Rattus norvegicus: one gene and its partners. The protein of the gene in region 1 interacts with the protein of each later gene in a pairwise test. Links are inferred from orthologs where the notes say so. Each region holds a gene or a part of one and is shown in the gene's direction. Other genes may lie near its edges.

The links.
Region 2: the proteins of Prmt2 (region 1) and Fip1l1 interact in a two-hybrid assay, tested with the Homo sapiens proteins (2 studies listed by BioGRID and IntAct). The link is inferred for Rattus norvegicus from reciprocal best matches to the Homo sapiens genes PRMT2 and FIP1L1.
Region 3: the proteins of Prmt2 (region 1) and Hnrnpul1 interact in a two-hybrid assay, tested with the Homo sapiens proteins (2 studies listed by BioGRID and IntAct). The link is inferred for Rattus norvegicus from reciprocal best matches to the Homo sapiens genes PRMT2 and HNRNPUL1.

What each region holds. Positions count from the first base shown.
Region 1 is NC_086038.1:12,400,812-12,404,398, forward strand, and holds part of Prmt2 (protein arginine N-methyltransferase 2), read left to right. Parts: intron 1-2,833; coding exon 2,834-2,959; intron 2,960-3,587. UniProt on the Homo sapiens protein: Arginine methyltransferase that methylates the guanidino nitrogens of arginyl residues in proteins such as STAT3, FBL, histone H4. Acts as a coactivator (with NCOA2) of the androgen receptor (AR)-mediated transactivation.
Region 2 is NC_086032.1:34,026,890-34,031,197, reverse strand, and holds the start of Fip1l1 (pre-mRNA 3'-end-processing factor FIP1), read left to right. Parts: upstream 1-1,444; 5' UTR 1,445-1,571; coding exon 1,572-1,653; intron 1,654-2,700; coding exon 2,701-2,745; intron 2,746-2,833; coding exon 2,834-2,873; intron 2,874-4,308.
Region 3 is NC_086019.1:90,387,515-90,391,881, reverse strand, and holds the start of Hnrnpul1 (heterogeneous nuclear ribonucleoprotein U-like protein 1), read left to right. Parts: upstream 1-1,511; 5' UTR 1,512-1,600; coding exon 1,601-1,895; intron 1,896-4,367.

The sequences.
Region 1 (3,587 bases):
CAGATGGGCTCTTAGCAATTAAAACAGGCCCGATACATGCTCAGAGAATCCTGAATGGCCACACTAAGGCAGGCAAGTGGAAATGCAGGACAGTAATTGGCACCCTTCAGATGGGCACAGAGGAAGGGATCAGCGCCTGCTGTTAACGAGGGACACGCCTCCTTTGTACTTACGGTCAGTGGGTCAAGTCTCCATCTCACTGAGTCCTAGTGCAGTCCTGGGGGCCCTTAGCGTTGTAATAAAAGCCATAGAAGTGATGGTCTTGGGCAGAGTGTGGTGGTCCTCACATCTAATCCTGTCACTTTGGAGGGGAAGGCTGGCACTTGAGGTCAGCCCGGTCTACACAGTGTGTTTTAGGCCAGCCAGAACTACACAGCGGACCCTTGTCTCAAAACAACGCCCTCAGACAAGAAGAGAAAGGTAGCCTTGACCAACTTTACACTTTAAGAATTTATCCGCAGGAACTTCTCAGGTGCATGCAAGATGATTGGCGTTCAAGGAAATTAATAATTGATAACAGGAGAAGCTGGGAGTAGTGTGTATATTCCAACAAAGGAGATTGGATAAGTAAGCTCAGATAATTCATAGACTGGAATACTACACAGGTACCAGAAATTTTTTCCTTTAATACTTCTGTGCATTGGTGTTTGCCTGCGTATATATCTATGTGAAGATATGTCAGATCCCCTGGAACTGGAGTTACAGGCGGTTGTGACATACCACGTGGTGGCTGGGAATTGAACTCAGGACCTCTGAAAGAGCAGCCCGTGCTCTTAACCGCTGAGCCATCTCCTTAGCCTGGAAATGTGATGTTTTTGTTCTCCAGGCTGTACATCCACTCAGGCAAAGCTAGACTCTTGACTAACGAGGAAAAGAATGGTTGGATGAGTCAGAGCGAACCCAAGTTAGTGCATTTTCTAAGCACATTTAGGGAGAGTAGGTTTTGAGAGGGGAGATGTGTACATCTGGGCTTTTGAGGTTACATTGTTTAAAGCATGTAACTTCCAAGAAAGTTTAGAGACTAAGCAGTTTAAAAATTAAGTGGTGTTAAAAAAAGACTTGAGCTGCATTACGCAGGTGGCGCTACGAGGCCCCCACACTGCTTATAGTTAGGGTTGGCAGAAATGCGTTAATGTGGTAAAATTTAAAGGCCATAACCATTCGGGTCCTAAGGAAGCATGGTTTGCTGGTTTTAGTGTCCTTGTTTAAGGTATCGTGAAGAAGATACACATTATCTCTCAGGTAGTTTTGATTTTGTTGGTTGTATTGAAGTCACTGGTTTTTAAAAAATCTTTCATTTTTTTATTTTATGTGTATGTTTTGCTTGTATGTGTGCATGTTTGTGTGCAGTCCCTGCAGAGGCTAGAAGGTGTCAGACCTCTTGGGACTGGAGTTTCAGATGATTGTGGGTGCCAAGTGGATTGAACTTGAATCCTCTGGGAGAACAGCCAGGACTCGCTTAATCACCCAGCCGTCACTTCCACCCCCAGTATGTCTTTAAGGCGTGTTTACTCTGATAGACGGTGGCTATAGGGCACAGGCCATAGACTCGCAAAGTCTCAGCCAGGCTGCTTGAGCTCTGTTTGCAGTAGGGTGGAGGATTATAGCAGTTTCCAGCACCTTCCGTAGGCTCTTGCTCTATCTGCCTGGTGCCTTAGGTCTGAAGAGACCCCTGGAGTCCGACAAGCTGTGGTATCTCTGTCACTAGTTGAGTGTCACTCTTGGGAAGCAAGCTGATAAAGCTGAGGGCCAGCACCCACTTCTTCCTGCTCCCGTAGACATTTTCTCTAAGTCACCCTGTCTCGGAGATACAGAGGTAGACCAAAGGTGAGAACGCTCGGTGGTTCAGATTGTTTGAATAACAAATACTTTCTCATTTGAATGTCTGAAGCAATCGAGAGAGAGAGAGAGAGAGAGAGAGAGAGAGAGAGAGAGAGAGAGAGAGAGAGAGGCACGTACACGGACAACAAAGCTCAGAGAGAGAGAGATGTGTACACGGACAACAAAGCTCAGAGAGAGAGAGAGAGAGAGAGAGAGAGAGAGAGAGAGAGAGAGAGAGGCAGAGGCGCGTACACGGACAACAAAGCTCAGAGAGAGAGAGAGAGATGTGTACACGGTGTACACGGACAACAAAGCTCAGAGAGAGAGAGAGAGAGAGAGAGAGAGAGAGAGAGAGAGAGGCACGTACACGGACAACAAAGCTCAGAGAGAGAGAGAGAGATGTGTACACGGACAACAAAGCTCAGAGAGAGAGAGAGAGAGAGAGAGGGGCACGTACACGGACAACAAAGCTCAGAGAGAGAGAGAGAGATGTGTACACGGACAACAAAGCTCAGAGAGAGAGAGAGAGAGAGAGAGAGAGAGAGAGAGAGGCGCGTACACGGACAACAAAGCTCAGAGAGAGAGAGAGAGAGAGAGAGGGAGAGAGAGAGAGGCAGAGGCGCGTACACGGACAACAAAGCTCAGAGAGAGAGAGAGAGATGTGTACACGGACAACAAAGCTCAGAGAGAGAGAGAGAGAGAGAGGCAGAGGCGCGTACACGGACAACAAAGCTCAGAGAGAGAGAGAGAGATGTGTACACGGACAACAAAGCTCAGAGAGAGAGAGAGAGAGAGAGAGAGAGAGAGAGAGAGAGAGGCGCGTACACGGACAACAAAGCTCAGAGAGAGAGAGAGAGATGTGTACACGGACAACAAAGCTCAGAGAGAGAGAGAGAGAGAGAGAGAGAGAGAGAGAGGCGCGTACACGGACAACAAAGCTCAGAGAGAGAGAGAGAGAGAGAGAGAGAGGCGCTCACAGTGTTGTCTTTCTGTCTGTCCCTGGCGGTGGTAGGAGGAAGACCCTGTGGACTATGGCTGTGAGATGCAGCTCCTTCAGGACGGGGCACAGTTGCAGCTGCAGCTGCAGCCCGAGGAGTTCGTAGCCATTGCAGATTACACCGCCACCGACGAGACACAGGTACCTGTGTTTGCTCCTCATACCTTGACTGAAGGAATCTCAGAATACCTCGCAGCGGAATTCAGGAATTCACGTTCACAAGATTAAACGAGACCCGCGCATGACTGTTCACCTCTTATCCTAACACACTGCCCTATCTGGTGGGTATAGAGATGCCCTTCAGGAAAACACCTCCCTGCTCGGAGAACTTGGTATAGAACCCTCCTGGTCCCAGAACAGCGAGGCTATCAAACCGTCCTATGCTCTTGAGTCTGGTAGGAACACGTCTGTGGAGTCTCCTAACTGAATCAGACACACATAGCTAGCTGCCTGCCTTTGATTTTAAAAGCGTTAGGTAAAGGCTGGCAAGATAGCTCAGTGGGTATTGGCTGACAGCCTGAGTTGGATCCCTGGAGCCTTCATGGTAGAGAGAACACTCTGGCCTCAGTACACATACTGTGGCAAATGTATGTACATGTACACACACGCACTCACGCACTCACACACACACACGTACGCACGCACACAGGCGAGTACACAGAATTTTAAGAAAAGAATGTGGATGAGGCTGTGTTCTTTCTCATGGCTGTCCCCACACAGCACTTTTATCTTGCTGTTGATCCCCTCCCCCCCGCAGGTGGTTGGTGAT
Region 2 (4,308 bases), on another chromosome or scaffold:
TGCGGTACTCTCAAGCACACAGTAAACCTTCTTTCTGTTTCTTGTATCAAGGGCCAAAAAGATATGGTGCACCATACAACAGATGGAAGGAAAGACGAACAAGCTACGTAGTCAAATAACACAGCAGCATGTGGTCTAAAAGAGAGTTAGCTCTACTCTAGTCCCCTCCCCCACCCCCCAATCCTGCTGACCTACATTCTGCCTCTTGCTCTATTCCAAATACAGTTTGGTGCCTGGAACTCCTAGGTCTCTGCTTCTTTGCCTGTTCCTAATCTCCTTGCCAAGTGCCCCAATCCAGAAACTTCTCCATGTAGGGATCTATTTTTTTTTAACCACCTGATATAACACCTCCTCCCCTTTAATCACTTGGCTTCAGGTCTTTTTCAGCTACTATTATTTTTAAATCATTATCAATAAGATGGTCTGCATTCTATGTGTCGCTCTTCCATTAGAATAAAATCTTCGTGAAAGAAAGATTTTTTTTTTTTTTTTTTTTTTTTTTTTTTTTACTGCCCAACCTATATAGTCTTGAAGAGTTTCTGACACTGGGCAGACTTTCATACGCGTTGGTTGAATACAGGGAGGATTTTACAGAGGAGATTGTACTTAAAAGTTGAAACAATACGAGAATTTCCTACAGGGGAACAGGGCATAGCAAACAAGAGTGAGCGCAAAACTAAGAATTAAAACCCACACGATCTAGTCAGAAGGTCGGCTCTCCCCCATCAATCACTAATTAAGAAAACGCCCTGCAAGTTTGTCTACAGCTTGATATTATGGAGGCATTTTTTCAACTGAGGTTCCCTCCACTCAGATGACCAGTTTGAGTTACATTAACATAAATAAAACTTTCAGGCCACAGAGTCTCCCAATGTAGCCTGAAACTCACTAAGTAGTCCAGGTAACCTGTCTCTGCCTACCAAGTGCTGGAATTAAAGGCATACTCCACTATGCCGGACACTAATAATTTTTTAAACAAAGAGAATGCATCCTGTATATATTAATTTTTTCTTTTGTTGGTTGTTAAAATTCGGACGAATTGACAAGTATGATTGTGGGTCAAGCAAACACGTGCGGGATGATGGCCTTCCGGATTTTAAAACGAACAAATAGTGGAGGGAGAAAAGCAAGGACAGAAAAGAACAATGGTGTAGCAAAGGGAACTTGGGATTGGAAGGAAGGTTGGGGGAAGGGAACTTCAAAGAACACCAGAAGGCAGAGAGAAAGCTACTGCGAGAAGCAAAGCTGGAATCCTAGGGGTGGGGTGGGAGGGGGAGGAGCCAGTGCGCGGCGCCTGCGCAGCGAGAGGCCCAGGTGCTTGCCGCCGCGGAAGCGAATCCACCTAGAGACGCCGCGCCGCTTGGATACTGCTGCGCATGCGCAGGCGGACCAGTTGCTGAATATTCACGGTCGCCGCCTCCGCCGAGGTCGACCCTGGATTTGAGTCTCGCGCTCTCTTCGTTCGCTTACCAGCGGGTTCCCTCCCCTTCTCGCGCCCTGAGACGGCGAGGCTGGGGAAGGGGTTGAAAGGGGCTGTTGATCGTCGCCTTTAACTTGTTCGAGGGGCGGCCATGTCGGCCGGCGAGGTGGAGCGTCTGGTGGAGCTGAGCGGCGGGACCGGAGGGGATGAGGAGGAAGAGTGGCTGTATGGCGGTACGGAACTTCCTGTCTGTCTCCCGGGTTCTCTCTGGCCTTCCTCCCGGCGTTTCAGGCCCGGGCGTCCGAGGCCTCTCGTACTAGCCCTGGCAGGCCTGCGTTAGGCCGAGTGCGGCCTGCTCCGGGCCCTCGCCCGGACCCGCAGGCACTCACCGCGCGGTGGACGCGGGCCAAGGAGGCCGGGCAGCCCTGCTTCGCCCTCCTCCCCACCGTCCCGGCCTCCTCGCTTCTGCGCTCTCTATTCATGCTCTTTCTATCGATCCTGAGCTGCTTCGGTGTCTCTTGCTATTGGGTGCTCCTCCTCGTCCCTTTCTTTCAGAAACAGTCATTCTGTAATAACAGCTAAATAAAGTCAATGCTATTAAACTAATGTCTTGTTTCTTGATGGTCAGTTTGTATGGAATGCACCTGCAAGGGTACCTCCTTGTCTGAAAGTCGTGCTTTAAAAATATTAATTAAGAGAGACAGAGGTGGAGAATACACTATGGTCAACCCTGAGTTGTCTCCTGTATTAAGGTGAAGTTTTTATTTATTTATTTTTTTAGAGACTGCTCTATAGTCCACGTCATAGTTGTACCTCGTGACTCTTCCCGTAGGCTTGTATTCAGTGTTTTGTATTTGTGTCCCCAAATTGAATGCATCATGTACTTTGTTTTTGTAGAGGACATGTTTGATGTTTAAGTCGTAATCCGCCTTGGCTCTTTGTTACACCAGATTTGAAAGTATTTTGTTATTTCCCAGAACATACATTCTTGACATAAATTGTCATAGATTACATAAAAGTGAACGTTGGAGTCTAAGCAGCCTTTTAGTGATGTAACTCCGATCAAATTGTAAAGTCGATTATGTCTTTAATAATGGAAAGACAGCATTGGTACTACCCTTAAAACGTGAAAGTGTGAGGTTTCTTTTACGATGATGTGTAAATCCTCATCGCCTCTTAAATTAAGTTTACATTAATAGCAGTAAAGTCGTGTTTTTTTTTTTTTTCCATAAGAGATGTGTCTTGTTTATAAAGTGATCTAACTTTGGCTATGCTCGCAGGCCCGTGGGACGTGCATGTGCACAGTGATTTGGCAAAGGATCTAGGTTAGTGCTCATGCTCTTCCCTTCAGATTTTTCTACTTGTTGCTTAAGCTTGGTTTCCTCATTTACTTTATTTTATTTTATTTGGTAGATGAAAATGAAGTTGAAAGGCCAGAAGAAGAAAATGCCAGGTTGGTGAACTCTCCTGTTGATGCCCTACACAGATGGTGATTCTAGGATGCCGTCAGTAGTTTTATTATAATCCTTGGTGGGATTGCATTTTGACCAAAGGTTAAAGGACCTTTCCTATTTCAGGATCAATTCTGTCTTGCTTTCTAGCAGCTTATAGGACGGTTCTTGGAGTTAGGTATTTATTTGCCAACCTCTCCCCCTTGAGTAACTTTCACCCTTAACTGGGCTTAGCAGTATATACAGTGGAGTTGGGTTTTTGTTTTGTTTTTCAAGACAAAGTTCTCAGTGTAGTGTGTCTACCCCTGGCTGTTCTGGAACTCACTTTGTAGACCAGGCTGGCCTTGAACTCAGAGATCCACCTGCCTCTGCCTCCCAAGTGCTGGGATTAAAGGCAGAGCAACTACGCCTGGCTGAATATGGTTGTTAAATTACTAAGAAAAAAAATAATTTTCTGTAAGAAATAAAATAACTGAAAGTTGTTGCTTTCATAATTTATTAGTGTTTTTATAGTATCCTTTACTTTTGGTATAGTTTTTTTTTTTCTTTTCTTAGAAACAGGCTCTTAGTGACAGGCCTGGAATTCCCTTTGTAGACTAGGCTGGCCTTGAACTCAAAGACATCTGTCTGTCTCTAGAGTGCTGAGATTAAAGGCATGTGCCACAGTGCCTATGCTTGGCGTGGCTTTAGTGCTTTGTATTTTAAATTCATAATGGAACTAGTTTTTTGGAAGGAAACTATGCTTACTACTATACCATGAACAGAATAGATTTTTTTAAGTTGGTTGTTATTATGCAAAACAGTATTTTTACAGTGTCCAGGGAGCCAAACATTCACTCAAAATTCCACAACTAATGCATATAAGCACATGGCTAAATTGGCTTGCGTTTGATCAGGTGACTGTCTGAAATAATGAGGGAGGAGTGGTCTTAGAGCAATTAAGGGCTGGAGAAATGGCTCAGTTGGGGACATGCATGTGGCATAAGCATGTGGACATGAATGACTACATCCTAGGAGAGATTAGACAGGATGATCTCTAGTACTCACTAGTTCCTCTATACTGTTAAACTCCAGGTTCAATCCGAGACTGTCTCAGAAAAGAAAGAAGAAGAGGGATTGGGAAGATACCTGATGTCTCTGGCTTCCACATGTATTATATATACAAAACATTTAAAGAATATTAAGATTTTCAAAGTGGAGGGGTTAATGCTTCATACCAAGCATGATAGCTATAAACCAAAAGGCAAAAGAGCTATAATGAAGATATGGAGAACCTGGACTGTTTGTACACTGCTGCTGCTATTGTAAAGCGGTGTCTCCTCTTGGGAGCTTCCTCAAATGTTTAAACAGTTAATAATTAATTAAGCAGTCCTACTCACTTTAAATCAGAGAAGTGGAAGCTCACATGAACACAAGTATTTGAACATTACTGTTCTT
Region 3 (4,367 bases), on another chromosome or scaffold:
GTGGGCAGCTGGGAGGAGAGAGGAAGTCCAACGTGGGCGAGGGGCGGGGTGTCTGGACTGGAACCTCGGGTCCACGTGAGTGTCTGTCCCGCTGCTGAGTGGGTGCCGCGTGTCTAGGTTGCTGTGGTGTAAGCTTGTAGCGTGAACTGTCCTAGCGGAGCTTTGTCGCGCGACGCTGCATGCTTGTGCCACACCTACACTGCCGTTTGAAGTCTTATCCTGAATTGATACTTTTGGCCTGTCACGCCTATTCGTTTATTGTGGGATGCTTAACTATATCTAAGTAGAGAGTGTTTGTGGCTTTTATTGGGCGTTAAGGCTATGGCTTGGGTGTCAATGCACATTTGCATTGTGCGTCTCGGTGTTATTTCACTAAGTTTTTGTCTTCTGAGCAAGGGGCGATAGGCGTATGGATTAACAACACCTGTCGTAATTACGGATGCTAGTGTGCGAATTGGTCAGTGTTGACACAGCAAGACTGAGCGAACGGTTTAGAGGATTCGAGATGGAAAGCCTCGAACTTCCTGCAGCTTGTATCCAGAGCGGGAAGGCTCTATGGTCGTGTGCAGAGTGGCTTGTCTAGCAACCATAGAGAACGTGCCCTAGGAGGATGTGCTATCAAAAGGAGGGATGCGATTTACCGCACAACTTTTCTCTTGCTGTTAGCCTAGCCCCTGTTTTCAACCCTTCAGCGCTCTCCAGAACCAATTTTTGTTGTTATTGTTTCTCATAAAGGCAACCGGGTTTCTACAAACGATGTGTAACATATCCACTTAATTTTTATTCCGTTTTATGACTTGCTGTACAGAGAACTTTGCGAGGCAAGCCTCAAGAATGGCCAATCTATTTAGCTTTTCCTAAAGCGATCAAGCTATAGCTATGGGTGAAATATAACAGTAACTGCGATTGGCGAATAAGTTGTTTTGAAACCGCCCTAACGGCAAGGGGCGGGCCTTCGGTGAATTAATCTACTTCCGGTTTCAGAAAGGCAACAGGAAAGACGAGGGTTGGCCGACCTCTTTCCGCCGCATTTGATTGGTTGTAGTGATTTTACCCGCTTGGCCTCCGCGAGGGGCGTGAGATGAAGACCAGTTAGAATGTGTTTTACAGAGTCTGAGGGAAGGACGGCTCGGAGAGAGACTGGACGGCCATTCTGAGAGCTCATTGCTAATTGCTCCAAGTCGTTGCTCCCTTTCCTTCATTTGACTGTACCGCAGCTGGCGCGCGGACGCTACCCAATCAGTGCTTGCTCCGCCTCTTGCCTTTTCCCGCCCTCCGCTTTGGCCGCGACTTCAACGTAGGCTAACGCTTCCTCTTAGGCAGCTCCTGAGCCCTCTTACTACCGTTCTTTGAAAGCCACACTGTGATTGGCTTGGTTCTCGGGCCCGCGCCCGTTGCCCCATGCGCTGACCAATTGAGACTCGTTTTACGTCGTACTGTACGGGCAAGGGGGAGGAGGCGGCGGCGGCCATTTTGAGCGCCGCCGCCATTGGAGTGGCCCCCCCCTTCTCCCCCTTCGCCTCCTGACAGGCAAGGTTTAGGGGGGACAGAGCCCTGGGAGGCCGGGCCGGGCTCGGGGGCCGCCCCGGGGGCCCGGGCCATGGATGTGCGTCGCCTGAAGGTGAACGAACTTCGCGAGGAGCTGCAGCGCCGCGGCCTGGACACTCGCGGCCTGAAGGCCGAGCTTGCTGAGCGGTTGCTGGCGGCGCTAGAGGCCGAGGAGCCCGAAGACGAACGGGAGCTCGAGGCTGACGACGAACCGGGGTTACCTGGGCACAACAACGAGGAGGTCGAGACCGAGGGGGGCTCCGAGCTGGAGGGGACCGCGCAGCCACCGCCGCCCGGGCTGCAGCCGCACCCGGAGCCCGGCGGCTACTCGGGGCCGGACGGACATTGTGAGAGTGCGCGGGGCGGGGGACCGGGGAGCCTGGAGTCCGGGCCGAGGACGGGATGTGGGACGCGGGAGCTTGACTCCACAGAGATCCAGGAGATGGTCTGAGGATCCAGGGATCCCGGCACCTGCCGCTGTAAAGGGTCTGCGGCCAGGGCCTCGGGGCAGCCTGAGGGCGGATCCTGGCCTTCGGTGCAAGGGAAATCGTGTGTGTTGTGTCTGTGTGTGTGTGTAGGGGTGGGGGGTGGATTTTGTTTTAAGACGACTAGGGTACGAGCGGGAGGACCCCGGAGGACTTTATATCCTGGGATTCGAAGACCGGAAACAGTTTTGGGATTCTGTTTTTGAGTTGGGAAAAGTCAGAAGAACTAGATGCTTTAGAGAAAGGGGTGTCGGGGGTTGACTTCTTGGAAAATGGAAGATTCTAGCTGAGCTTTGAGCTGACAGCTTGGGTAGCCGTGCTAATCCACCACTTGATCTGGGTCTGGGTCTCAAAAGCCGGATTTTCAGGTAGTGGAAGAATGGCCAAGGGTGCAGGACTGGAAGAATTTTAAGGATAGAAGATCTATGATTTTCCTCACGGGTGGGAGATCTGCTTAGTGCTGGGGGTGGATTGGTGCTTTGGACTTACTGGTGTCCCCGGCTGGGAAGAGTCCCCCAAAACATGAACTGAACGCTCCAGTGTTTTGCAGGTGAGCATTTAGGGAATAATGAAAGACCAGCAGAAGATTTGGAAACCTCTACCTGCTACTCGTATATTTTCAGTTACAGGGTCAACCTCGAGGGCAGATACAACTTGTATATTTGGTACCTGGAGACCCAGGTGTCCAGAGGAGGCACGAGAGCTTTGGGATCTAAATGGTGACAAGAAAGGACAGAGTATTTAATGGACAAAGAAGCTAGAGGGTCCAGAATTGGGAAAACTCTTGGGACAATACTCTGGTTTCTGCTGAATGGCCTTGCATTGTTAACTATAGATAGTTTTCAAAGCAGGAGTAGCAAGTGCATGAACTGTGTGGTGGGCAGAGGACCCTTGTCTGCCAGAGATCATGTAGCTGGTCTAGCAGATGTGGGGGAGGAAGCAGAGAGGATTAAAAAGAAAGGAAACCTGTTGCTTTGGCTGGGGGCCTCATGATGAAGCCGAGGGAGTATTCCTTTCCAGGAGAGGGCTCCCGAGTCCCCAGAAATAGTTACTTGTGTGCCCAGGGAGATGGGATGCTCAGGAGATTTGGGGGAACTTGATCAGCTCAAAGTGTCTGTATAAGAGGTAGGATTGGCATGAAAGGGCAGTACAGAAAACCCTGATATGAGAGGAAACCTGGAACTAGACACTGTGGCATCCAAAACTTAGGGTGTTTTTCTGAGAAGGCACTGTAGGGCTTGGGACTAAACAGCAAAAAGAGTTAAAAAATGAGTCTTCAAAAGAGACTTGGGATTGGCATCTGGTACTCACTTGTTCATAAGGAGTGGGATCCTGTGGAGGGGCCACCTTAGATATAGATGGTTGTGGTGTTAGGGATTACCCATGTGCTGGCAAGTCTTCCACAGACAATTCCCTGCTAAGAAGGGAGGCGTGGCTTGTGAATTTATCCAGAGCTGAGGAGCCTGGCAAATAGACTTGTGAAAGAGCCGAGAGGATGCTGCTCTTAACCTTGCTTTTAGCAGAAGAGTCTTGGGAAAGCGAGTTGGATGCTTCAGAACAACTGTAGACTCAGGCAAACTTTGAATTAAGCAAATCATTCCCCCTCTGAACCTGGTGTCCATGTACAGTGGGATGGTAAGATTATCCTCCTAGAGTTGATAGTCATGAGATTGTGTGTCTAAAGGGCTTCATACCAAGGTTGCCTGTCATTAGGGTAATGTGGTAGGGAGTGGAAAAGGACCCAGCATCATACCCTTTCTAGGCCAGCCTATCCCGTTAGGGGAAAGATACCGGCTTTCTTGGGGAAGACATTGTCTTGAGACTGAAGGAAACAGAATAGTTTGAAGAGGCCTTATATTCCAGTTAAGGAGATACTCTATCCCTTAACATCATTGTCATCCCCTATACCCCAGCAAAATCCTCTAAGCCCTCCTTCAGGTTCCCTCTGAGTACTTCATTCTTGGTAAACAGATACTGTATATAGCAAGCCACATGACTTCTTGCTTTCCTCCCTTTGGGCTGCACCTGGTTTGTGCCCAGATGTATTTGTCCTCTGAGAAAGAATCCAGTTAACAAGTGGCAGAACAGTCTCCTTCCCTGTGGTTCTGCCTCGCTGCTCCTGGCACAGCTTCTAGCAAGGCTCTGGAGGCACCCATCAGCAGGCTTACCCCAGGGGCAGAGCTGTATGCTGTCCATCCTAAGTTCATAATGTTCTCTCTTTGTTTCTGCTGTGTCCTGCTTCTAAGCTTTTCACATGAGACATTATTCTTCCCCAGGAGTGTTCTCTGATGTCATCACTGAGCCTTGGACTATGTATCCTTTGAGTTGAGGCTT